Linked DNA regions of Ovis aries. The protein of the gene in region 1 purifies or fractionates together with the protein of each later gene. This does not show direct contact. Links are inferred from orthologs where the notes say so. Each region holds a gene or a part of one and is shown in the gene's direction. Other genes may lie near its edges. The genes, in order: RNF7, ASB7, ASB1, ASB6, RAB40B, TULP4 and SPSB2.

Evidence for each region.
Region 2: the proteins of RNF7 (region 1) and ASB7 purify together in Homo sapiens (co-immunoprecipitation; 4 studies listed by BioGRID and IntAct, with this or other methods). This does not show direct contact. The link is inferred for Ovis aries from reciprocal best matches to the Homo sapiens genes RNF7 and ASB7.
Region 3: the proteins of RNF7 (region 1) and ASB1 purify together in Homo sapiens (co-immunoprecipitation; 3 studies listed by BioGRID and IntAct, with this or other methods). This does not show direct contact. The link is inferred for Ovis aries from reciprocal best matches to the Homo sapiens genes RNF7 and ASB1.
Region 4: the proteins of RNF7 (region 1) and ASB6 purify together in Homo sapiens (co-immunoprecipitation; 4 studies listed by BioGRID and IntAct, counting the BioPlex papers as one, with this or other methods). This does not show direct contact. The link is inferred for Ovis aries from reciprocal best matches to the Homo sapiens genes RNF7 and ASB6.
Region 5: the proteins of RNF7 (region 1) and RAB40B purify together in Homo sapiens (affinity purification with mass spectrometry; 3 studies listed by BioGRID and IntAct, with this or other methods). This does not show direct contact. The link is inferred for Ovis aries from reciprocal best matches to the Homo sapiens genes RNF7 and RAB40B.
Region 6: the proteins of RNF7 (region 1) and TULP4 purify together in Homo sapiens (co-immunoprecipitation; 3 studies listed by BioGRID and IntAct, with this or other methods). This does not show direct contact. The link is inferred for Ovis aries from reciprocal best matches to the Homo sapiens genes RNF7 and TULP4.
Region 7: the proteins of RNF7 (region 1) and SPSB2 purify together in Homo sapiens (co-immunoprecipitation; 3 studies listed by BioGRID and IntAct, with this or other methods). This does not show direct contact. The link is inferred for Ovis aries from reciprocal best matches to the Homo sapiens genes RNF7 and SPSB2.

The regions. Positions count from the first base shown.
Region 1 is NC_056054.1:247,812,867-247,815,074, reverse strand, and holds the end of RNF7 (RING-box protein 2), read left to right. Parts: intron 1-790; coding exon 791-909; 3' UTR 910-1,708; downstream 1,709-2,208. UniProt on the Homo sapiens protein: Catalytic component of multiple cullin-5-RING E3 ubiquitin-protein ligase complexes (ECS complexes), which mediate the ubiquitination and subsequent proteasomal degradation of target proteins.
Region 2 is NC_056071.1:5,390,636-5,394,135, reverse strand, and holds part of ASB7 (ankyrin repeat and SOCS box protein 7), read left to right. Parts: intron 1-1,667; coding exon 1,668-2,273; intron 2,274-3,500. UniProt on the Homo sapiens protein: Probable substrate-recognition component of a SCF-like ECS (Elongin-Cullin-SOCS-box protein) E3 ubiquitin-protein ligase complex which mediates the ubiquitination and subsequent proteasomal degradation of target proteins.
Region 3 is NC_056054.1:2,901,068-2,904,567, reverse strand, and holds part of ASB1 (ankyrin repeat and SOCS box protein 1), read left to right. Parts: intron 1-3,239; coding exon 3,240-3,500. UniProt on the Homo sapiens protein: Probable substrate-recognition component of a SCF-like ECS (Elongin-Cullin-SOCS-box protein) E3 ligase complex which mediates the ubiquitination and subsequent proteasomal degradation of target proteins.
Region 4 is NC_056056.1:6,876,063-6,880,205, forward strand, and holds the start of ASB6 (ankyrin repeat and SOCS box protein 6), read left to right. Parts: upstream 1-1,343; 5' UTR 1,344-1,498; coding exon 1,499-1,611; intron 1,612-2,657; coding exon 2,658-2,839; intron 2,840-3,816; coding exon 3,817-3,923; intron 3,924-4,018; coding exon 4,019-4,127; intron 4,128-4,143. UniProt on the Homo sapiens protein: Probable substrate-recognition component of a SCF-like ECS (Elongin-Cullin-SOCS-box protein) E3 ubiquitin-protein ligase complex which mediates the ubiquitination and subsequent proteasomal degradation of target proteins.
Region 5 is NC_056064.1:49,673,226-49,676,725, forward strand, and holds the end of RAB40B (ras-related protein Rab-40B), read left to right. Parts: intron 1-328; coding exon 329-406; intron 407-1,080; coding exon 1,081-1,303; intron 1,304-2,202; coding exon 2,203-2,474; 3' UTR 2,475-3,232; downstream 3,233-3,500. UniProt on the Homo sapiens protein: RAB40B small GTPase acts as substrate-recognition components of the ECS(RAB40B) E3 ubiquitin ligase complex which mediates the ubiquitination of target proteins.
Region 6 is NC_056061.1:82,683,940-82,687,439, forward strand, and holds part of TULP4 (tubby-related protein 4), read left to right. Parts: intron 1-801; coding exon 802-946; intron 947-2,805; coding exon 2,806-2,899; intron 2,900-3,500. UniProt on the Homo sapiens protein: May be a substrate-recognition component of a SCF-like ECS (Elongin-Cullin-SOCS-box protein) E3 ubiquitin ligase complex which mediates the ubiquitination and subsequent proteasomal degradation of target proteins.
Region 7 is NC_056056.1:209,407,687-209,411,787, forward strand, and holds the start of SPSB2 (SPRY domain-containing SOCS box protein 2), read left to right. Parts: upstream 1-1,301; 5' UTR 1,302-4,101. UniProt on the Homo sapiens protein: Substrate recognition component of a SCF-like ECS (Elongin BC-CUL2/5-SOCS-box protein) E3 ubiquitin-protein ligase complex which mediates the ubiquitination and subsequent proteasomal degradation of target proteins.

The DNA.
Region 1 (2,208 bases):
AAAGAAAATTTTAAAATCAGGAGGACATCTTTAAATAAACTAACTTAAAGGCCCCAAAGGTCTCCAGGGTCAATGCACGAGTGGAGTGGTTTGGGATCTGAGGAAGACTCGTCTTCTGGGCTTCCCTGGTGGTGCTAGTAAAGAACCTGTCTGCCAGTGCAGGAGGCACAAGAGATGTGGGTTCCATCCCTGAGTCTGAAAGATCCCTGGGATAAGGGCCTGGAAATCCACTCCACTATTCTTGCCTGGAGAATCCCATGGACAGAGGAGCCTGGCAGGCTACAGTCCATAGGGTTGCAAGGAGTCAAATACAAGTGAGCCGACTTAGTACACACACACAGGTCTTTTAACCTCCCAACGAGAGAAAGACTGACAGCATGTGGCGCCACATAGGAGCGGGAAGCCACCACAGCATCCTCGGATTCCAACAGTGATGTCAGGTTTCCAAGCATGGTGCCCTACCTCATTTTTTTCTTTTTTCATTGGCTATACCAGGTCTTAGTTGTGGCATGCGGAAGCTAGTTCCCTGACCAGGGATTGAACCCCGGGCCCCCTACATTGAGAGCGCAGAGTCTTAGCCCCTGGACCACCAGGGAAGTCCCCTTACCTCATTTTTAAAGTATAATTTCTATATGTAAGGTTCTTTTTCTTTATGACTAAAAAAATTTATTTTGGCCAGTTAACCATCCTTAAGATTATGAACCATAATTATTATATAACAAAATAGAATTCTGACTTCAGTAAGTTAAATTGAAATATGTAATGTCAGATATTCTTTTTTTTTTCCCAGTGGTCTGGGGAGAATGCAATCATTCCTTCCACAACTGCTGCATGTCCTTGTGGGTGAAACAGAACAATCGCTGCCCTCTCTGCCAGCAGGACTGGGTGGTCCAGAGAATCGGGAAGTGAGAGCAACCGAAGGTGCCCTTCATGCAGTCAGTTGTTCGGAGCCCTGGTGGATCTTGTTATCAAGTGCCCTACAGCGGCTAGAACTCTCCAGGGGACTAATTCTTCGAATAGGAGATGGATCTGTGGTCTTTTGGGACTCATCAAAGGCATGGTTTAGCCTTCTTCAGTTTTATTTTCAGAAATTCTCTACAATTAAGATAATTTATTAAGGATGGTCTTTCCTACCTCTGTGGTATGTGTCTCACACACTGCTTAGAAGTGCTATAAAGGAGAGGACTATAAATTGAACAACCTTCATAATTGACTTACCGATATCCAAGGAGTTATTGAAGTGGTTCCGTTCAGAAGAGAATTTTTTGCATGCTTATGGTTGATCAATTTTTTAAAAAGACAATGTTATAGTAACAAATAAAGTACAGTTTAAAACCCAGTTCTTATCCTTAATGTGTTCCTAATATTTATTTTTGGCAGGGGGGAGGATAATTAATGAAATTTTTATTTGATATAATTTTAAGTTTGGACCAGGGAACAGGGTAAATAAAATTTAACTTTTGGGTATATGGGATTTCGAGTGTCTTTATAATCCTCTCTCGATTCATCAAGAAAACCTAGATCTGCACTCACCTAGTGAGTGGTAAAGGACAGAAGTCTTTTCAGCATCTGGTTGTATTGTGTTATAATTTAACTGTGTTTTAGGTGGAATGTTAACAAGGGGAAAATGTTTACCATTGTCACATTGGGTCAAGAAGTTAACTTTACCACATGATGTTTTAATAAATGGTTTATTCTGTTTACCTCATTTGAATTGTCATTATTGCAAGTTTATGCTCAACTTTCAACTTAAACTAATTTGGCAAGTGAATGCTTTTGGTTAATTTGAAAAAATATTCATTTGCTCTTTCTTTGGTAATAATAAAATTATTAATAACTTTATTACCTGCAAACATAAGTGTAAAAAAATACTTAAATTCTATCAAGTCAATTCACATTCAATGGAAATATCTTAGGACAATTTAGGAACCACAAGTTCATTTTGAATTTTTTTATAACATAGGCTATTGCTATGCATTTAGACAACTAAAATCTTGAAATCTTAACCATTCACTTCTGTAGTTGTGGAGTTGCCAGTCTGAATCTTTCTGAATCTAAGGAATATGGATACATAAAAGAATATTAAAAGTATAATAATTAAAAATTAGAATTCTGTATGCTTTCAACTTACCTACTATGTATTAATTAGATTTCTTGTAAATTTTGCTTTATTATTTTTTTCACAATTAGCTACTGAAAGAATTAATC
Region 2 (3,500 bases), on another chromosome or scaffold:
TGACAAGATTTACAGTTTTGTTTGAATAGTAAAGGTTCTTTTAGATTTCATTCATGTCCTCACTCACTCTAGATAAGTAAGGTATCTGGAAAAAACTTGAGGGCATCATGTCAAAATGGAAACATTAGGAGCCCGTGTTCACATCTTACCAGTAGATGGCAGCAATGTGCTTTGTTTAAATGTTCTTGCTTTTTTTTTTTTTTTTAAGTCGCAACTTGAAACTATACTATATAGTTTTCTTTTAGTGAAAAGCAGGACAGATACGATACCCTTTTTTTCTTTAAACACATAAAAGTCTTATTACTATTGTATAATATCAGTTTATATGAAATAATTTTAGAAATTCAACTGATATAACTTGCCTAAAAAGTGCTAACATTGTATAGCTTTTGTTGTAACTACTTCTTAATTGAAATCTGTATTTTCCACAGTATTATTACTATTTTACATATACTTTTCTGCCTCATAGGTTTTTCTAAGAGCTGAAACTGTCATAAAATGTTACAGAACTAAAAACTATTTTTACTAAACAATACAGGAGTGTTTAATCACGTAACTGTGGAGGCTTTTTCTTTGTTTATTTGAAAAACACTCGTGAATTTTTCTCTTTCATGAACAAAGAAAAAATTAAGGGTGACTTTTATAAGAAGAAAACATTTTACTCTTAGGTAGTTAGGTCCAACCAGTTATCTTTGCATGGACTTGCTGGCCTCCGTTCCCGTCACTTCCGTAAGTGACCTGTCTGCAGTGAATAAAGGTTCTTTCCCCTCTTCTGCCCCCTGCCCAGGAAGGCCAGTGGGATGAGAGCAGTGCAGAACTGACTCTCAGGTTCAGGAAGGATTGGGAACAGGGGACAGAAGTCTCTGGCTTGAGGAGACACATAGCTGATAAATCATTTTAGTTTCTGTCTTCTCTTTTATTTCGAGAAATCTGTGGATTTAGAAGAGAGGTTTGGAACTGTTTTAGAAAATAATATTTACACAGTGCTGAAGTTTCTCCCAATTTTTCACTCAATGTGTGCTGCCTAATTCCTAAAAACTCCAGAGTTCTTACAAAACAAAGAATTCAGAATTGACTTTTATCTTATAGAAACATGATTTATCAAGATCACTTAACATATACCTTACATACTTTGAAATTTTTATAGACCACAAAAAACTTTTTTTTTTTTTACCTAATATACCCTAAAATAACACAGTCTGCCAGACCACAGTACATCCGTAATTTAGAGCAGCAGATGTTGCTACACATGCTTCTTTTTAAGACCAAGAAGCAGCACAAGAGAAAATAAAACAAAAAGTTCAAAACAGAAGAGAAACATGAAACAGTGCAGAGATGAGGGAGTTGGGAGGCCAAGGGCAGCTGGTTAGATTAGCAGAGCGAAGGGGTGTGGCGATCAGAGCTCTGTGTTGGCTGTATTTATCTTTTAAATGCTTTGTAAGTCGTATGCTCATCCTGTTAATCCAGGTTTGATGGCTTTCTACTAAAATTTATTTTCCATTAAAACTACTTCAATTAAGCTGAAGCAAGAAGGACTTGATGCTCATTATGTGTTTAATCATTCCCCATTTCATGTGAGAATTGGCTAAGATGTGCTGTGCCACGGCAGAATTTGTTGCTTTCTCTCCCAGAGTCTGCTAATGTTTTCATTTTGGTTTTAACTCTAGCTGATCCCACAGTTAAGGACTTAATCGGAGGCTTCACTGCTCTTCATTATGCAGCCATGCATGGCCGGGCCCGGATTGCACGCCTGATGTTAGAATCTGAATACAGGAGCGACATTATTAATGCAAAAAGCAATGATGGCTGGACTCCCCTTCATGTGGCCGCTCACTATGGTAGGGACTCATTTGTCCGACTCCTACTGGAGTTCAAGGCTGAGGTTGACCCGCTCAGTGATAAAGGTACAACGCCGCTTCAGCTCGCCATTATCCGAGAGCGGTCAAGCTGTGTGAAAATCCTCCTGGACCACAACGCCAACATCGACATTCAGAACGGTTTCCTGTTGAGATACGCTGTGATTAAAAGCAATCACTCTTATTGCCGAATGTTCCTCCAGAGAGGAGCAGACACAAACTTGGGTCGCTTAGAAGATGGACAGACTCCTTTACATTTGTCTGCCCTTAGGGACGATGTGCTCTGTGCACGGATGTTATATAATTACGGAGCGGACACGAACACAAGGAACTATGAAGGACAGACCCCATTGGCTGTTTCAATAAGCATTTCTGGAAGTAGTCGACCGTGTTTGGATTTCTTACAAGAAGTCACAAGTATGTAATTTAATTATTGCTATTATTACATTTAAGAATTTTTTTTGCTTCTTCTGAGGAGCTTAAGGTGTTTTTACAACTTAAAATGACCAGATGTTAATGATTCTTGTTAGCCCTGCTCTTTCCACTCATCTGAAATGAAAAAGAAAGCTCTGTATCACAGGATTTCATAAAAATAATCAATTGTGTTACTAAAAGTAAATAGGCATAGATAGGATGAGAGAAAAATTGGCGAAAAGGATGCAGAGAGAGGAATTTTTTAAATAGAGATCAATACGAGAACAGGGCATTTCCTACTAGTCATAAACATAGTCTTTCCAGGCTTTCATGAAATTGAGAATGAGGAATTAGAAGGAGAATTTTGGATCTTAGCATCCTTAGCTATGGAAGTGTCTTAGAATTTGTGCTTTATTCCTAAGCTGTGCTCGTGTTTTATCATTCCGTTTCTGCTTCTTTACAGTGTGAACACACGTGGAATGGAATAGCAGTGTTATTTGTTAGGCATCCTAGGAGTACAGATTAAGGATGCTAGATATTAGAAATGGTTGTAAGGAAAAGTTTGTTCCCAGTAGGAAATTTGGTGCCACTGTCCCTGGCCCACATAGGACAGTGTAACCGGCCTGTTTTCGTGTAGGTGCCTTATTTTTAAGCTGCAAAGTGTGTGGCCTGCTGCGTTAATGGTGCCTGTGTTATTTTTCGGATGGAGGAATTGGTTTGTGTGGAGCAGCCACCCTCTCCTCTCAGACTTCCTCGTGGGTACTCTCAGAGCTTCATATTCAACATGAAGCTATCGTCTCTAAACGCAGCGTTTTGTCTACTGTACTTTTTAATGAATTCCCCTTTCCTCAACTAATTTTTATGTTTCATTCATTGTTATAGAAGAAGAAAGACATTCTAGGTGCCAAGTAGTAGAGGATTAGGAGCTTACCTGACCTGCTTGTAAATAATCCACTGTCCTTGGAACTGAATTTGGGAGTAGAAAATTTATGAAGAAATGAGGTATAATTTGGATTTTGTTTATTCATAAGAAAGACAGGATGAAATTATTACCACTGAGTATATTCAGACTCAAGCATAAAAAAAATGACACTTGGGGTCTAACCCGTGCTGTCCACAGAGCGTTCAGTGATGATGGAAATGGCCTCTGTGCTGGCCACTGTGGCAGCCACTAGCCCCATGTGGCTGTTGAGCACTGATTTTGTGGCAGGTGCCACACAGGAAATGGAT
Region 3 (3,500 bases), about 240 Mb from region 1:
CTTCTTCTCTTTCTGCCATAAGGGTGGTGTCATATGCATAGCTGATACCTGTTATTGATATTTCTCCCAGCAATCTTGATTCCTGCTTGTGCTTCTTCCAGCCCAGCGTTTCTCATGATGTACTCTGCATATAAGTTAAATAAGCAGGGTGACAGTATACAGCCTTGGCGTACTCTTTTCCTATTTGGAACCAGTCTGTTGTTCCATGTCCAGTTCTAACTGTTGCTTCCTGGCCTGCATATAGGTTTCTTAAGAAGCAGGCCAGGTGGTCTGGTATTCCTATCTCTTGAGGAATTTTCCATAGTTTGTTGTGATCTACACAGTCAAAATCACTGCAGGTGGTGACTGGAGCCATGAAATTAAAAGACGCTTACTCCTTGGAAAGTAAGTACTCCTTGGAAAGTTATGACCAACTTAGACTGTATATTAAAAAGGAGAGACATTACTTTGCCAACAAAGGTTCATCTAGTCAACAAAGGCTATGGTTTTTCCAGTAGTCATGTATGGATGTGAGAGGTGGACAATAAAGAAAGCTGAGCGCTGAAGATGGTTGATGGTTTTAAACTGTGGTGTTGGAGAAGACTCTGGAGAGTCCCTTGGACTGCAAGGAGATCCAACCAGTTCATCTTAAAGATCAGTCCTGGGTGTTCCATTAGAGGGACTGATGTTGAAGCTGAAACCCCAATACTTTGGCCACCTGATGCGAAGAGCTGACTCATTTGAAAAGACCCTGATGCTGGGAAAGATTGAAGACAGAAGGAGAAGTGGACGACAGAGGATGAGATGGTTGGATGGTATCATCGACTCAACGGACATGGGTCTGGGTGGACTCTGGGAGTTGGTGATGGACAGGGAGGCCTGATGTGCTGCAGTCCATGGGGTCGCAAAGAGTCAGACATGACTAAGTGACTGAACTGAACTGAACTGAACACAGTCAAAGGCTTTGGCATAGTCAATAAGGCAGAAACACATGTTTTTCTGGAACTCTCGTGCTTTTTCAATGATCCACATGATGTTGGCAATTTGAACTCTGGTTCCTCTGCCTTTTGTAAATCCAGCTTGAACATCTGGAAGTTCACAGTTTGTGTATTGCTGAAGCCTGGCTTGGAGAATTTTGAGCACCATTTTACTAGTGTGTGGGATGAGTGCAATTGTGCAATAGTTTGAGCATTCTTCGGCATTGCCTTTCTTTGGGATTGGAATGAAAACTGACCTTTTCCAGTCCTGTGGCCACTGCTGAGTTTTCCAAATTTGCTGGCATATTGAGTGCAGCACTCTCACAGCATCATCTTCCAGGATTTGAAATAGCTCAACTGGAATTCCATCACCTCCACTAGCTTTGTTCATAGTGATGCTTCCTAAGGCCCACTTGACTTCACATTCCAAGATGTCTGGCTCTAGGTGAGTGATCACACCATCGTGATTATCTGGGTTGTGATGATCTTTTTGGTATAGTTCTGTGTATTCTTTCCACCTCTTAGTTTCTTCTTCTGTTTGGTCCGTACCATTTCTGTCCTTTATTGAGCCCATCTTTGCATGAAATGTTCCCTTGGTATCTCTAATTTTCTTGATGAGATCTCTAGTCTTTCCCATTCTGTTGTGTTCCTCTATTTGCACTGATCGCTGAGGAAGGCTTTCTTAATTCTCCTTGCTATTCTTTGGAACTCTGCATTCACATGGGTATATCTTTCCCTTTCTTCTTTGCTTTTCACTTCTCTTCTTTTCACAGGTATTTGTAAGGCCTCCTCAGATGGCCATTTTGCTTTTTTGCATTTCTTTTTCTTGCTCCCTGTCTCCTGTACAATGTCACAAACCTCCGCCCATAGTTCATCAGGCACTCTGTCAGATCTAGTCCCTTAAATCTATTTGTCACTTCCACTGTATAATTGCAAGGGATTTGATTTAGGTCATACCTGAATGGTCTAGTGGTTTTCCCTACTTTCTTCAATTTCAGTCTGAATTTGGCAATAAGGAGTTCATGATCTGAGCCACAGTCAGCTCCCGGTCTTGTTTTTGCTGACTGAATAGAGCTTCTCCATCTTTGGCCACAGAGAATATAACCAATCTGATTTTGGTATTGACCATCTGGTGATGTCCATGTGTAGAGTCTTCTCTTGTGTTGTTGGAAGAGGGTGTTTGCTATGACCAGTGCGTTCTTGGCAAAACTCTTAGCCTTTGCCCTGCTTCATTTTGTACTCCCAAGACCAGATTTGCCTGTTATTCCACGTGTTTCTTGACTTCCTGCTTTTGCTCCAGTTCCCTATAACAAAAAGGACATCTTTTTTGGCTGTTAGTTCTAGAAGATCTTATAGGTCTTCATAGAACCATTCAACTTCAGCTTCTTCAGCATTACTGGTTGGGGCATAGACTTGGATTACTGTGATATTGAATGGTTTGCCTTGGAGACGAACAGAGGTCATTCTGTCATATTTGAGACTGCATCCAGTACTGCATATTCTGACTGTTTTGTTGACTGTGATGGCTACTCCATTTTTTCTGAGTGATTCTTGCCCACAGCAGTAGATATATAATGGTCATCTGAGTTAAATTCACGCACTCAAGTTCATTTTAGTTTGCTGATTCCTAAAATGTTGACGTTCATCCTTGCCATCTCCTGTTTAACCACTTCCAGTTTGCCTTGACTCATGGGCCTAACATTCCAGGTTCCTGTGCAGTATTGCTCTTTACAGCATCGGACCTTGCTTCATCACCAGTCACATCCGCAGCGTTTCCCCTTAGTTCTGTGAATATGATGGATTATGTTAATAGAGTTTCTGATATAGGAACCACCCCTGGAATAACCCCCATGAGGTCATCGTGTGTTGCTGTCTTAATGTGTTTGGAGTCCCTTTGCTGACGTTTAATTGGAGGTTGTAAGTTGATGCTCCTAAGTGCAGGTCACTGGTAAGTTTTCTTTATGGTATGACCTTTGTTTGGTTTGGGGTTTATTCTGTTGTTCATTGCATAAGATGAATTTGGGAATTGTCCTTCTTTATCTTTGTTTGAAATAGTTAAAATAGCCGTGGGATTGTTGGGTCTTCACAGGTTAGAAAGAATTCCCTTAGGAGTTTTCTTGTGTGAGAGGATCCTAAGGTTCTGAGCTACCGTGGTGCCTGCTGGGAGTCATGGGCCCACTGTGAGCAGGGGATGCTCCGGTGCTGGGGCGTCGGGCCGTCCCTGCAGGTGCGGTCAGGGTCTGCCGACCATGCTGGCCTGACTCTCCGTGTGTCTCTCTGCAGGTATGGGGCGGACGTCGATGTCAACCACCACCTGACTCCTGACGCCCAGCCCCCTTTCTCACGGCGGCTCACCTCCTTGGTGGTCTGCCCGCTGTACATCAGCGCTGCCTACCACAACCTGCAGTGCTTCAAGCTGCTGCTGCAGGCGGGGGCGAACCCGGACTTCAACTGCAACGGCCCCGTCAACACGCAGGGCTTTTACAGGGGCTCGCCCGGCTGCGTCATGGACGCCGTCCTGCGTCATGGCTGCGAGGCGGCCTT
Region 4 (4,143 bases), on another chromosome or scaffold:
GTGTGTGTGTGTTAGTCGCTCAGTCGTGTCCAACTTTTTGCGACCCCATGGACTGTAGCCTACCAGGCTCCTCTGTCCGTGGAATTCTCCAGGCAAGAATACTGGAGTGGGTTGCCATTTCCTCTTCCAGGGGATCTTCCCGACCCAGGGATCGAACCCAGGTCTCCTGAATTACAGGCAGATTCCCTGCTGATCCCCCTACCACTTTTCTTGCTCCTTTAGGCAACGGAGGGGGAAGCAAAATTAGGTCTTCTGAGACCTGATGGGGATTTTAAAGGTTCATCTCTTGATCTGCACAACAACCTTGTGAACTGAAGAATTATAAGCAAGCAATTGTCCAGCCCTTGCTGCATACTGGACCCTGCTGGGTCCCCATCGCTGGCCTGGAAGGCTTTGGATTGCGTTTTTCTTGGTGGCCGGGGTCGGGGATGGGGGAGCCCTACTCTACCCATTTTTTTATGTTTAATTGTAGGCACATGGGGTTGTCTTTAAATTCATCTCTAAACGTTTTCCACTTCCTTCAAGACTTGTCCCTGACGAGTGTCAGGTGGGAGAGACTCCCAAGCCCACGTGGTGGAGGGTGGGGGCGATGGGAGACCAAGGCTGCCACCTGAGCGGCTGGGACTGGCGCACCCCTTCACGACGAGCTATCCAGAATCACGAAGGCATCAAGGCTCCACCCTGGGCCTCAAGGTTGTGGACGTTCGAATGCGAGGCCCAAGGCCAGACGCTACTCCTTAGAAAAGTGGCCCCAGCCTTGGGCTCATTCCTGTTAGATTCAACTGACAGTAACAGAGCTCTTGACCCAAGATCTTGCGTGGGTTTGATTATCCCCATTTTACAGATGTAGAAAGTAAAGTTCATTGAGTCCATCAAGGCAGAAAGTGGAAGCCCCAGTAGGCTGCAAGGGCTAAGGAATCGTCCCCATCGCCCGTCAGGGTGGGTGTGGTCCAGTCAGCCTGGGGAGAAGGTGAAAGCCAGGCCCAACCGTGGTCCGACCCAACTCCCACCCAAGTCGGGGGCACCGGGGGTCCTTCCTGGGAGCTGGGCACGGATCCGGCCGGTGTGTGCTCGCTCAATGGGCGGAGCTAGGACGGCGCCCAGCGGCCGCGAGCGGGATAGCAAGGCGGAGCTGGGCCGGGCCGGGAAAGGAGCTTCCGGGCCTAGGGCTGAGATCGGACTTGGCTGCCGGTCTGCGCCCTCCAGTCCTGCGGAGCTGTCCCCGCAAGGCACCCCTAGCTTGCGCGCCCAATCGCACCGCGATCCTCCGAAACCGCAGAGGGCGCTGTCGCCGCCGCCGCGATCCCTTCCCCGGGGCTTGAGCGGGCCGGAAGCGCGCGGGTGACTTCCGGCGCGTAGCCCCGGGTTGGGCGGTGCACCGGGCCGGGCGCGGGGCGGGGGACTGGACCCAGCGAGCGGCCGAACCTGGTCAGGACCGCGGGCTCCGCGACGTATCCCAGTCGACGTCTCGGCCTCGGTGGAAGGTGCGGCCGCCGCCATGCCGTTCCTGCATGGCTTCCGGAGGATTATCTTCGAGTACCAGCCGCTCGTGGATGCTATCCTGGGCTCCTTGGGCATCCAGGACCCCGAGCGGCAGGAGCCCCTGGACGGGTAACTCGCGCCCTTCCCCGCCTCAGACCGGCGCGGCACCCCTTTCCTTGTCCCCACAAATATGGCGGGCGGTGTCCTCATCTGTCAGAGGAGACCGAGGGCGGGCGGGGATGGGTGGAGGCGGCCGCGGCCCGCTCAGGGAGGCCCGTGGGGCGGGGTGGCGGCAGGGCCTCTGCCTCAGCGCCCCACCCTGCGCCCTGCCGGTCCTGTGCCCTCTACCTGGAGCTGCAGAGGAGCAGGATGTAGTCGGTAAACGCGGCGCGGGATGAGCTTTCTGTAGCCCGGAGTTTCTCGTTTGGTATAGACAGGCGCGCGTCTGTCATACGTTAGCCTGTGGGAAGGCTGTTCAGAAAGCGCATCGTTTAGAGGTTACATCGGCGAGCTAAAACCCTCACCCTTCGTGGTGATCGTGCTACCAGAGAGAGGCTGACAGTGGTTAAAGTGGTATATACTGCCTTACGTGGAGTGGAGAAAAGAGCCGAGGAGAGGGGGGATCGGGGGTGTGTTTTGGGCATCAGTTGGAATTGGCGAGGGGGGGTAGGCGGGTTGGGGCTGTGGTGCAAAGGGCTTTCTGGGTCCCTCAGCCTTTGGTGGACCAAACCGTCTCTGAGTGTGATCGGGCTTTGGGAGGTCTTCTGACCGCCCTGGCTGCTGGGCGGCCTGAGCTGGGGTGCAGCACCTTCTGCAGCCCCGGGTTAGTCGGTGTCTGGTTCTTGCCTTTGGCCGCAAGGGTTCCCTTCAGTGCCAACAGCGCAGGTGTATGAGGCTTTGTACCTAAGTCAGGGGCCAGGTTGTATGGGTGACTTGGAAGGAGGTTGATGACAGCCCCAGTCCTTTCTCAGCAAACCTGGAGTCTGCTCCATTGAAAAGATCCAGCTTGGTCCACCAACCTTTTCGGAAGAGACTTTCTGCCCCATGGAGCCAGGGCCCTGCCTGGGGTGGGAGTGGGGGCGAAGTGGGGGTGACTGCAGGAGACCAAGGCCACTTACCCGCAGGGTGCCCTGCCAACCTGTCCCACCCTCAGCTGCTCCTCTCTCCTGCCCCAGGCCCAGTTATGCTGCCAGCGAGGAGAGCCGCATCCTTGTTCTCACCGAGCTGCTGGAGAGAAAAGCCCACTCTCCATTTTACCAGGAAGGCGTGAGCAACGCCCTGCTGAAGATGGCCGAGCTGGGGCTGCCGCGCGCAGCCGCTGTGCTCCTGCGGAATGGAGCCAACCTCAACTTTGAAGGTCTGCCGGAGCCTGGAGGGCTGGGGTGGATAGATGGCTTGAGTGTGGCCTGCCGGGGGTGGGCAGTCAAGCCTCCAGGCTCTGCCCTCATCTCTTCAGGGGTGATGCCTGAGGAAACCCACACTGGGTGGCCTCCCACCCCCTGCAGTTTCCCAGAGGCCCTCAACCACCTCTGATCAGGAGCAAGTTTGTCGCTGCTCCTATCAGGCGACTGACTTAGCAAACTTTCCCCCAGCTCCCAGCTAAATCCTTGCTTCCATTAATGCAAAAATGGGGCTGCTGGCACTGTGCCCAGAGCTAAGGGAAAGTAATTTTCTGCCGCTGGTTCTGAGCCATGTTGCATGCTGGTTCCTGCCACAGGGAGAGGGGGGAAACAGATAAGACACATTGGGCATAAATCACGGACTGATGGTGTTGGCGTCTAGCTGGTGTGCCCGGGAGGTGCTGATGGAGCCATCTTCCTTCCCTCTTTGTTTTGCCCTGGGTGGGGGGTTGGGGGGGCAGGCAAGGTCAGCCGGGAGACACTCGGGACTGACTTGTTCCCGAATGGGGTTTTTGTGCTGATACAGGACGTGCCAGGCGTGTCTCTCCTCCCCTTTGGAGGACAGGCTCAGAGGCGGCTGGGCTCCTGGGAGGTCAAGGAGCGGGGGAGGCGTTCTGCAGTCAGTCACTTGGGAGACCCAGCTTTGAGCATTTGTGGGTGTTCCTCCCCACAGCCTTGTTTTAGGTCCTATTTTACAAAAGGGACTAAAACCCAGATTAAGTACCTTGTCCGTTCACTGGAACACCTCCCCAGGACCCGAACCTAGGCCTGACTGAGCACCCTAGCGTCTGACGAGGACAGCTGTGTCCTGACCCCTCACGGTGCCAGGAGCCCTTGGGTCGGAGCGTTGGGGCTAGGCTGCCAGGCTGGTCCTGGAATCCTGTGAGAATGTGCCGTCGGGCAGGGCTGATGTGAGCTGTGTCTGCGCCTTCAGACCCGGTCACCTACTACACGGCGCTGCACATCGCCGTCCTGCGAAACCAGCCTGACATGGTAGAGCTGCTGGTGCGCCACGGGGCCGACATCAACCGGAGGGACCGGGTAAGAGCCAGCCCTGCTCTGAAGGAGGCATGTGGCCGGGGCCCTGAGCCGCTCACAGGCCCCAGGGCCAACCTGGCTGTGCTTTCTTGGCTCAGATCCACGAGAGCAGCCCCCTGGACCTGGCCAGCGAGGAGCCGGAGCGCCTGCCCTGCCTGCAACGCCTCCTGGACCTCGGAGCAGACGTCAATGCGGCCGACAAGCATGGTGGGTGCTCCTGGGA
Region 5 (3,500 bases), on another chromosome or scaffold:
CACATGTGTGTGTCTGCACGTGTGTGGGAACTCTCTGTCCAGGTGGGCGGGCTCTGCAGTCCCCCCACATTCCATGTCCCTAGACCAGCTCATGAATGTGGGGAACTGAGTTCTACTACCCAACTTACCTTCGCATTTGAGGGTTTCTCCATGAGCTTATGAAATTATCATTGGAAATGATCATATAGCTGCTACATTTGGCACATAAATTTTAAAAAATGTGTTTTGCATTAAAATAAGTAGAATGACTGTTTAGCTCGTTGTGAGTGTGTGCCTGAGTGGCCTGCGTGCTGGCCAGTCTCTCCACAAGTGACTGTTGTCTCCCCAGGGTGTGATCCTGGTATACGACATCGCGAACCGCTGGTCCTTTGATGGCATCGACCGGTGGATTAAGGAGATCAATGAGGTACAACGGGGCAGGGCTCCCTCCCTGTGGGCCCATGGAGGGGTGGGCAGGGGAGCCAGGGCACAAGGCTCCAGCCACAGCGGGGAGGACATGTCACCTCTTAGCACAGGACGAGGCCCTGCACACAGTCAGGTGGGTTGACCAGCGCTAACTAGGCTGCTATCTGCGGGCACCCTGACCGGCCCAGCTGCCAATGGAGACGTCTAGTGGTCAGTCCCATCCACTGTTGTAAGTGTCCTGGGGTGGCCGTAACAGCTCACCACAGACTGTGTGGCTGAACACAAAGGAAACTCATTCTCTGCGTTCTGGGGTCAGAGTCCAAAATCAAGGTGTTGGCTCCCTCTGTCTGAGAGGAGGGTCCTTCCTGCCTCCTCCAGCTTCTGGTGTTGCTGACAGTCCCTGGCCTTTGATCTCTGGATGCCTCACTCCATCTCTGCTCTGCCGTCATGTGCCTTCTTCCCTGAGCGTCCTGTGTCCTCTCCCCTTCTTATAAGGTCACAGTGACGGGATGTCAGGTCCACCCTAAGATCTTAACTAATTCCATCTGCAAAGCCCCTATTTTCAAAAAAGGACATATTCTGAAGTTCTACATGTATATCATCCCAGGGCACCTGTCATTACAACAACAAAGCTTGTGCCTGACCCACTTTCCTTGCCTCTTTGTCACCCTTTAGCATGCCCCAGGGGTCCCTAAGATCCTGGTGGGGAACCGCCTGCACCTGGCCTTCAAGCGGCAGGTCCCCACAGAGCAGGCCCAGGCCTACGCAGAGCGCCTGGGTGTGACGTTCTTCGAGGTCAGCCCACTGTGCAATTTCAACATCACTGAGTCCTTTATGGAGCTGGCCAGGATCGTGCTGCTGCGGCACGGGATGGACCGGCTCTGGAGGCCGAGCAAGGGTAGGTGCTCCTCCGGGCTGCCCGGCAGCCCCTCCAGCGGTCAGCCTCCCAGGACCTGCCCCCAGGTCGCTGTCTCCATTCTCATAAATCAGAGCTTCTGCCCCTTGGCACTACAGCCAGCTGGGATGGTGTGTCCTCTAGTGGGGGCATCCCCTATGCTGTGGGTGAGCTGCACCCTTGGTCTCCCTGCCCCCATTTGTGAAAACCACAAATGTCTCCAGATTTTGCCAAATGTCCTAGGGAGTCAAAATCGCCCCCAGTTGAGAAGCACTGTTCTGAAAGTTGTTAGGACCTTGATTCTAAAAGGAAGCAAAGCCTTGGGTTGTGTTTCTTCTGTCTGATGCTCCAGGGGTTGAGGAGTGCCCTGACTGCACCAAGGGTGAGACGCAGTCTCTGCTCCCAGCAGGCCCCTGGGGAGTCCCGCTCTGTTTGAGCAGGGGCTCTGACTCATAAAACGAACAATGTAGCTGAAATATAAGTGACAGCATTTGCTTTTCTGGTGTGTTCTCCAGTATGTCTTTATAAAGCTGATAACACATTATTCTGGGTCAGCTACTCTGTTGGGAAGCACATTTCCTGAAGCGCTTGGCCTCAAGCCCCAAAAGCTGGTTGCATGAATCCTGAGGAGACGTGATTGGCCATTGCAGGCCAGGACTCGTCTCTCAGACCCAGTGGGAGGGACGGTTGTGGTCTCAAGTTTGGAGGCAAACTGGGTTTAAGGAGACAAAAGCAGGACCACCTATTTCTAATTGCCCCCTGTAGGCACAGGGTGGGAGACTGGGCCTTGACGTCTTGCCCCAGAGTCCCAGAGAGGAGGGTGGACAGGCATCCTGCTGCCCCGGGGCTGGCCCCACGCCCAGGACACTGCAAGTGAACCGGGTTTCCTTTTCTTTCCCAAGTCCTGAGCTTGCAGGACCTGTGCTGCCGGGCAGTGGTGTCTTGCACGCCTGCACACCTGCTGGACAAGCTGCCGCTGCCCACGGCCCTCAGGAGCCACCTCAAGTCCTTCTCGATGGCCACCGGCCTGAGCGCCAGGATGGTGCACGGCCGGCCCTGCTCCCTCGCCACCAGCTCCGGCCACAAGAGGACCAGCCTCCGAAAAGCCAAGGGCACCCACCTCCCCCAGAGCCCCCCCAGACGCTGCTCCAGGAACAACTGCAAAGTCTCTTGAGGAGGGTGCAAGGCAGAGGAGGGGCACAGATGGGAGGGGGAGGCCGCTCTGGACCTAGACGCCTGCCAGTGTTGTGACCACGTGGCCCCGAGCAATGAAACCGAGGCTGGTACCCTGCTTACCAGATACTTCTGCATGGATGGGCATGGGGCTCTTATTTCAGACATGTGTTTATAAAGGGAAGAACTCTTGATAACATGGAATTTTGAATGTAACCTATCATGATTGCAGTGCAACTTTTTTCTTGAAATAACTACTTTTTATAAGAATGGTGATATGTTTGTGATGAGTATAAATTCTAGGGACTACAAAAAGTGGAAATGGAGAGAGAAATTAAGAGTTTTTGATGCTATGAGGGGTCTTTTTATAAACCTCCTTTTTAATGTGGAAGCACTAATTTATAAAACGCCATAGATAAGTTAGAGATTACGCACAGCCAATTTGTCCAGCTTGTGTATGAAACGGATTTGATCAAGTTTTTGCTACGTTATTTACTACGTTTTAGGATAAGTGATTTATATGCATATTTTCTGTAAATCTACATTTTTTTGTACAAATGTTTTACAAGTTATGACGCTAAAGGGAAGAAAATGCCAAAGATATTTCTAGTTACAGCAAACACACTGCAGCATGGTTACACCACGTCCAGACTGGCAAGAGAATGTCACTCAGAGCCATTTTCAGCTAAGAGTGAAGCAAACTCTGTTGTTTAAGAATGGATGTTTCCTGACAATAAAAAGCATACTCGTTTCTTGGTAGACTCGTTGGCTGCTTCTTCCTGGTTTTGTGTACTTCCATCACCCTTGATCCCATTTGCTTTATTGCCTATTTCAGTTACCACAGTCAGTGCTAGTACCTGGCATTGGCAACAGGGCTGTGTCCCTGACCTGAACCACCGAGTGAAAAGATGTCTTTTCCTGAAAAGAACGCGGAGGCAGACAGTGGGGCCTCAAGGGGCAGCTGTCCAGCCTGTGTCTGTACAGGAAGAGTGGGAGGTGCTCTGGCCCCAGTGCGTGGGGCATCACT
Region 6 (3,500 bases), on another chromosome or scaffold:
TTTACCACTGAGCCATCTGGGAGGCCCAGTATTTTGTAGAAAGTGAAAGTTAATTCTCAAGTGAAAGCATTAGTTGCTCTGCTGCTGCTGCTCAGTCACTTCAGTCATGTCCAACTCTGTGCAACCCTGTGGACTGCAGCCTTCCAGGCTCTTCCGTCCCTGGGATTCTCCAGGCAAGAACACTGGAGTGGGTTGCCGTTTCATTCTCCAATGCATGGAAGTGAAAAGGGAAAGTGAAGTCACTCAGTCGTGTCTGACCCTCAGCGACCCTGTGGACTGCACCCTTTGGGGCTTCTCCATCCATGGGATTTTCCAGGCAAGAGTACTGGAGTGGGGTGCCATTGCCTTCTCTGGTTAGTTGCTCAGTTGTGTCCAACTCTTTGCGACCCCATGGACTGAGGCCTGCAGGGTTTCTCTGTCCCTGGAATTCTCCAGGCAAGAATACTGGAGTGGGGTGGCCATTCCCTTCTCCAGGGGATCGTCCCAACCCAGGGATCGAACCCAGGTCTCCTGCACTGCTGGCAGATTCTTTACCATCTGAGCCACCAGAGAAGCCTCAAGTAAAAGTTCCTTACAAATGAATCACTTGATCTAACTGCAGTTTATTTTTAAATATATATTATTCCACATACAATTCTGTCCTTCTTTCCTGATGTTCATAAGGCAAAAAAAGCAGGCGGTATGGACTTGATTAAATTAAGGGCCCCGCCCCTGAGAGTGTGACGTCCACAGGGGCTGCTCGAGAGTGAGGAGGTCCAGGGGCCTATGGGTAGGTGCCTGACCCTGGCCTGGTCTCTGCAGGATCAACATCGAGGCCCGGAAGTCCCCCAAGCTGTCGCGCGCTGCTCAGGAGCTCTCCCGCTCTCCTCGCCTGCCCATGCGCAAGCCGTCCATCGGCTCGCCCAGCCTGGCACGGAGGGAGTTCCCCTTTGAAGACATCACTCAGGTATCGGAGCCCTGCTGCCCTTCCCCCTTGCACGTGCATGAGGGCGGCTGAGCCCTGGGGACCGTCTCCATGCCTGGGATGGCAGCCCCTCGGGGCCCTTGTCACCTCCTTGTCCCACTCGGCTTCCCTCCCACCTGGGGATCCCCGTGGCTGCCACGAGAGCCTTCTCGAAGGCAGCTCTGCTTGAGACATCTCCTCACGTCCACCGCAGGACCCCCAACCACTCCTGACCCCTCAGTGACTCCCAGCGTCCCAGGAGCCCAGCCCTGGTCACAGCCCCACGTCTGGCTGGCCTGTCTCCCTCCTGGCCCCCTTCACCCCGGGGCCACTGCCTTGTGGTTGACTGCCTCTTCCACTTTCTGCCTGCATCTCCCTATCAGTGGGCCCACCTTCTTGTCTGCTCCCCGTGGTTTCTGTCTTCAGGTTTCCAGGTATAACCACCTCTGTCCAAAGCCTGCCTTCCCTGGCTTAGCCACAGTAAGGCCAGTGCATCCTGTTTATGCTCCCTTATCCTTTCTCGGCGACTCCCTCGTGTGTGAATAACTACAAGCCTTATCTCCTCCCTAGGGTTATAAGCTGAGGGTATGTGTGTATACAGGTTTTTTTAAACTATAATTGACCTGCAACACTACTGTTAGTTACTAGTGTACAACATAGTGATTTGGTATTTTTATACATTTTAAAATGGTCACTATGATAAGTCTGCTTACTGGCTGTCACCATACAAAGTTATTACAATGTTATTGGCTATATTCTCCATGCTGTACATTTCATCCCTGAAAGTATTTATTTTGTAACTGGAGTTGTAGCTCTCAATCTCCCTCAATTTCACTCATCACCCTCCACCCCGACCCCAGCAACCACCTGTTCGTTCCCCATGAGTCTGTTTCTGGTTTATGTTTGTTCATTTGTTTTGCAGTCCACGCATAAGTGAAGTCATGCAGTGTTTGTCTGACACACTTCACTTAGCATACGGCCTCCAGGTCTGTTCGTGTTATTGCAGATGGCTAATGCTTCACTCTTTCCATGGCTGAGGAATATTTCAGTGTGTGTGTGTTTACCACAGCTTCTTTACCCATTTATCTGTTATTGGGTGGTTAGGTTGCCTCCATGTCTTGGATGCTTTAAATAATACTGCTCTGAACATTAGAAGTGCACATATCTTTTCATATGGTATTTCAATTTTTTAGTTTTTTGAGGAACCTCCATACTGTTTCTCACAGTGGCTGTACCAGCTTAACGTTTCTACCAGCAGTGTTGGAGGGTTCCCTTTCTTGAGCTGGGTTTTATTCATCTTTATTATTGCTTTTGCACCTGTGTGTGTATACATGCACACACACACACACAGCCTATGTATATGTGTGGTTTGGGGCACAGTGATAACTTTTAAAATTTTTTGAAATTTAATCGAATGAGAAAACAGATAATTGGGTGGTCTTGGCACACACAGTTATCAGTACAACTGATGTTTCCAGGAGAAATAAGAACTCAAGGCTAAGAGTGGAGTCAGAGCTTGGTACCCTTGTAGTTCAAGTGACTGGGCAAAAGGAGAGGCGAAGAAAAGTGTGCCGAAGTCACTCTTGTGACCTTTTAACCTCCCCACGCATGGACACACTGGGATCCGTCCACCCCTTGCTCCCGACCCGAGAACCACAGCCCGTGAGCCACCATTTGGAAACAGGGCTGATGTGCTCTCATCACCGTCTGGTCTTGAAAACAGTGGAATGACACAGGGTGAATATTTCCATCAGCAGCCACCACCAGCAGCTTTTAAGCAAAAAGTGTTAGCATTCTTACTTCTTAAGTGATTGATAGAAAATATGGAAACAGATTGTGATTCTTCTTCTTTTTCCCCACAGCACAACTATCTCGCTCAGGTCACGTCTAATATCTGGGGAACCAAATTCAAGATCGTGGGCTTGGCTGCTTTCCTGCCAGCCAACCTCGGTGCAGGTAAGCGCTGCACCCGCTCTGGAGCTCGGGCTCAGGAACCGATTTCAGCCTCCGTGGTGCACAGTGAGCTCTTACAGCACCGGAAGACTAGCTTGTATTTCCCTCCAAAGTTTGACTCAAGCCACCATGGTTTAGTGGAGAATAGAATTATTCTATTCAATTTTTTTCCCTCCAGCGGTGCTTTCATTTTTTTTATACAAGCCCTGGGTGATAAAAATAGCCAAAAGCGCTGATAGGTTTTCTGGTCATTTTGATTTCTGGCCTTTTACTGTGGGCAGATTTTGGTACCAGTGTCCTCAGGTTCTTGAAGCAAAAGAAATTTCTGAGCAAAGTCAAGAAGAGAGCATTAGAGGCTATACGAACAAGTTGGCTGACTGTTAGTGCAGTTCTTAGTGGTAAATCTTTATAGACTTCATTTTCGAGTATCAGTTAAATGTCATGTCTGTTGGAAGCATGAGACATTGGGGAAAATGGAATCGGGAGGACAGAGCCGAGCAGGAACCCAGAGCATCTGGCACTCTCTGTACCCAACTCTAGTGAGTAGCTCCAACTGCTCACATTTATTTGGCCCTTTTATAGAAAGCATGTGGCAGTTCCCTGT
Region 7 (4,101 bases), on another chromosome or scaffold:
AAATAAATTTCTGTCGCTTAAACTACTTAAGCCTTTTGTTATGGCAGTCCTAGCAAACTACAAAAGGTGGTACAATAATTAGATTGTGATGAGTTTTCAATACTTTTTAAAAATTTTCTTTAAATTATGCTTGCACTTTTTTTTTTTTTAAATATGTGACCACACAGCACGGTGTGAGGGTTGTTGGTTCTTGGACTGGGAGTCAAACCCTGGCTCCTTGCAGTGGAATCTCAGAGCCCCAACCACTGGACCAGCAGAGAAGTCCACAATTTCATGTTCCTAAGTAACTTTTTTGAAGAAACTTTTAAATTTTTCTTTATTTGCTGTCTTAAGCCAGGCTCGTGCACAGTATGCAGGATCCTAATTCCCTGACCAGGAAACTGAACCTGTGCACCCTGCTTGGAACCACAGAGCCCCAACCACTGGACCGCCAGGGATGTCCCCAGAACTAATGGTAAATGTGCTTTTCAAAAGTAATTAAGGACACCCCTCTCTGTTCCTCCCTCCACTTTAAGAATCCCTGACATAAAGGAAGGCATAAAGGCATAAAGGAAGGACCAGCCAGCGGATATCCTCACTTATGAGTCACTGGAAAGTGGAGGCCTTAAGGGACATAAAGGTGAAGTTAGACAATCTTGAGCCAGTCTTTTAAAAACTACCAATGATAAACAAACGGGCATTGACTTGGCAAGCAGGACTTTTAATGACAGGCTGATGTAGGCTTGCAGAGTTTGAGAGGGTGGTTTTTATAACAGGCGAGCTCCTTTAGGCTGCAGTCTTTAGCATAACCTGGCTGTCTGCGACTTGTGGCCTCGCACCTCCCAGGTGGAGGTCACAGACTCTCCCGTGGTGAGGATCCCTAGATAGAGCGATATTGTCCACAGGAAGAAGAGAGAGATGGCGAGGTAAGGACAGTTTCTTGAGGGAGAGAGGAAGGGAGCCCTTTATAGGTACGAAAACTCCGGGTGTTAGCCTCGATAAGCGGATCTGCGGAAGCACCAGCTCTTTTACTCCCCTCTGAAGTCCAAAGGTGCAGCCGTGGCTTAAAGGCCCTCGGTTCCGCCCTGGGGCCTTTGTTCCGGCGCTTAATGTTCCAGAATCAAACGCCTGAGGGATGTGGGCGGGGGCGGAAGCTGCAAAGCAGCACACTGGGAGCGGGCGGAGCGGAGACCGCGTCACCGCTGCGGCCGCTAGGGGGCGCGCGAGCCCCTGCAGCCGCCCGGCCCCCGCGCCTGCGCAGATAGCCACGTACGTGACCGCCGCCCCCGGGAGTCCGCGCCCCCGCGTGTTACATAACCGGTTCCCTGGCGGCGGCGGGGGTGGCGCGTCTGGCTCGGAGAGCTGGGAGCGTTACCAGCAATCGCCATTTGGTCACCACCCTTGGGTTTGGCGCAGTGGCTTTTCATTTTTTGAGTCCCGACGCTGCCATTTACCAGCTCTAGTCACAGACAAGTCGGTTAGCCTTTCCGAGACCCAGTGTATAAACCTGTCAACACTGGGCCATCTTAGTTGTGTGGATTAAATGAGAGGTGATGGGGTTGCATCAGGCACACTTAAAGTGAGCTCAACAATTCTCAGGGCTTCCCTGGGGGCGCAGCGGTAAAGAATCCTCCTGCCAGTGTAGGAGACAGGTTCTATCCTTGGGTGGGGAAGCTTCCCCTGGAGGAGGAAATGGCAACTCACCGCAGTACTCTTGCGTGTCTCCACAGAATTCCATGGACCGAGGAGCCTGGTGGGCAACAGTCCAAGGGGTCGCAAAGACTTGAACACGACTGAGCACGGGAGTCTGCACACAAACACACCAATTCTCAGATTAAATAGGGTGGCAGGTCTCCAGGTACTGCTCCCCACCGACGGTGGGACTGGACTCTGCCCTTGGCCCTGGGCCTGAGCCTGACTGCGGTTCTAGTGTTTTGCTTTTCAAACTAGTGTTTTTAAGCTGCCTCTTTTCCGTATAACACGACCCACCTGAAGGCAATCTAACAGTTTCATCTGGCGCCCACCCAAAGAAGCAGCAGTTCCTTCCCGCGCTGGGAGGAAAATGGGCTTACTTAGCGAGGGCCATCTCCAACGTGGCACAGGAGTATGACCTCAAGAAATCACACGTGCAATTGAGATTCAATAGATGTGTGAAGACAGGTCATCAGGTTCTTCTGCTGTTACAGGGACAGCAAGGTACGTGTGAATCTTAAATCAGGAATGAGAACACACTAAACTTATTCCTGGAAGAAATGAAGCAGAAATAGGTGCCTCACAATGGCCATACATGGCAGAAAAGGAAAAAGAAAAACTTAGCCTTGTCATAGTTCACGCTTCGGCCAGACAAGAGGGCGTTGGGATGGAAGAATTTCACAACTAGCCAAGGATGGCATAACAGGTTTAGAAACCAGATATGTTCCAACCGTTTATGAGGCTGTATCTGTGGGGGAACCTACCCAGGACTACTAAGAAATATTGGCCAAAGCGCTGTCCCCCAGAATATAGCAAGGTTGGTATCTTCTGAGGGGGACTTGCCCGACTGCTTTTATGTTTCCAAACTAGTAGCTCAAGACCCTGGTTTAAAAGTAAGGAAAGACTTTGTGGGGGCTTCCTGGTGCCTCAGCAGTAAAGAATTCACCTGCAACACAGGAGAGTCGGGTTCAATCCCTGGGTCAGGAAGATTCCCGGGAGACAGAAATGGCAACCTGCTCCAGTATTCTTGCCTGGGGAATCCCATGGATAAAGAAGGCTATCATCTACGGGGTCTCAAAGAGTCAGACACGACTGAACAACAACAAAATGAGCTCGTGACCACCTCTTCCACCTCCTTTCCTGGAGGCAGTGAAGCAGTGTGTTTAATAAAGCCAGAGAGTTCTACAAAGATACAAATCCCAGTGTCCTTAAAAAAAAAATTTTTTTTTTTTCTTCTGTACTCCAGCATTTCAAATGCAAAGTCCTGGGTAGCTGCAGTATTTTTCTTGATTTGCTTTTACAGTCTACATCCTAGAAGCTAAGTTGGACATCAGAGAGAAAGGCCTTGGCTTTGTCATTGCCGCTCACAGGCAGCAATACCACTCTGCAGTCCCACACGCTTTATGAATGCGCTCATAAAGGCATTGAAGTTTTCTTCCCCCTAACATCACCCCATCCTTCGTTCTGCTGTAAGCGTGAAGTTCTGTTTCAAAGTCACATGCATGAGGCTGAGATTCCTCCTTGAGAGCCAGGGAGAGCTGATGCTGGGCTTAATGTGGTCATGAGTTGAACAATTTGAAGATGCTCCAATATTTCCAGTTGCATCTTTTATATTCAGCAGGCATGGAAACAAACCTCAGACAGTCCTTGCATGTTGGGAAGAATGTGTTTAGAACTTTAAGGGTTTTCTGTTGACAAGTGAAACTCACTGAGTGGCCTAGCAAGTGGATCGTGGTGGCTCTGTGGGAGAAACTGAAATACACGAAGAACAGAAAACCAGTAATAAAAAGCTGAGGAACTGATAAAGAGAAAGAACGGAACAGCTCAAATTTTCATAAACTTGTTAAAGCGTTCCATGCTGTAAATAACTGAACGATTTCATTTCTGAACAAAATCCCTCTGTGGCGAGAAACCTGAAAATTACATGTGGTTAAATCTATACATTGTAATTCCTTGTAACCCAACAATTCTGCACGTAAGTATGCCCCCAACAAAAATGAGCTGCCTAGGTCCATTAAAAGACTCCTGATAACTATACACAGTAGCTAAAGATGGAAACAGTTGTGGTATATCCATACAACATGCGTATGCCCTGGGCTCAGTTTTGTCTGACTCTTTCTGACGCCATGGACTGTAGGCCACCAGGCTCCTCTGTCCATGGCATTTTCCAGGCAAGATTACTGGAGTAGGTTGCCGTTTCCTCCTCCAGGGGATCTTCCCGGGCCAAGTCTCCTGTGTCTCCTGCATTTCAGATGGACTCTTTACTTGCTGAGCCATCAGGGAAGCCCACGCTTACAATGGAATATTCAAACAACTATCATTTCATGCAACAACATGGATGACTCTCACAGACCTAATGTTGAGGAAAAAACAGGTCAGACACAAAAGAATACAAAGAATACATACTGTATTGTTTCATTTGCAAGAAAT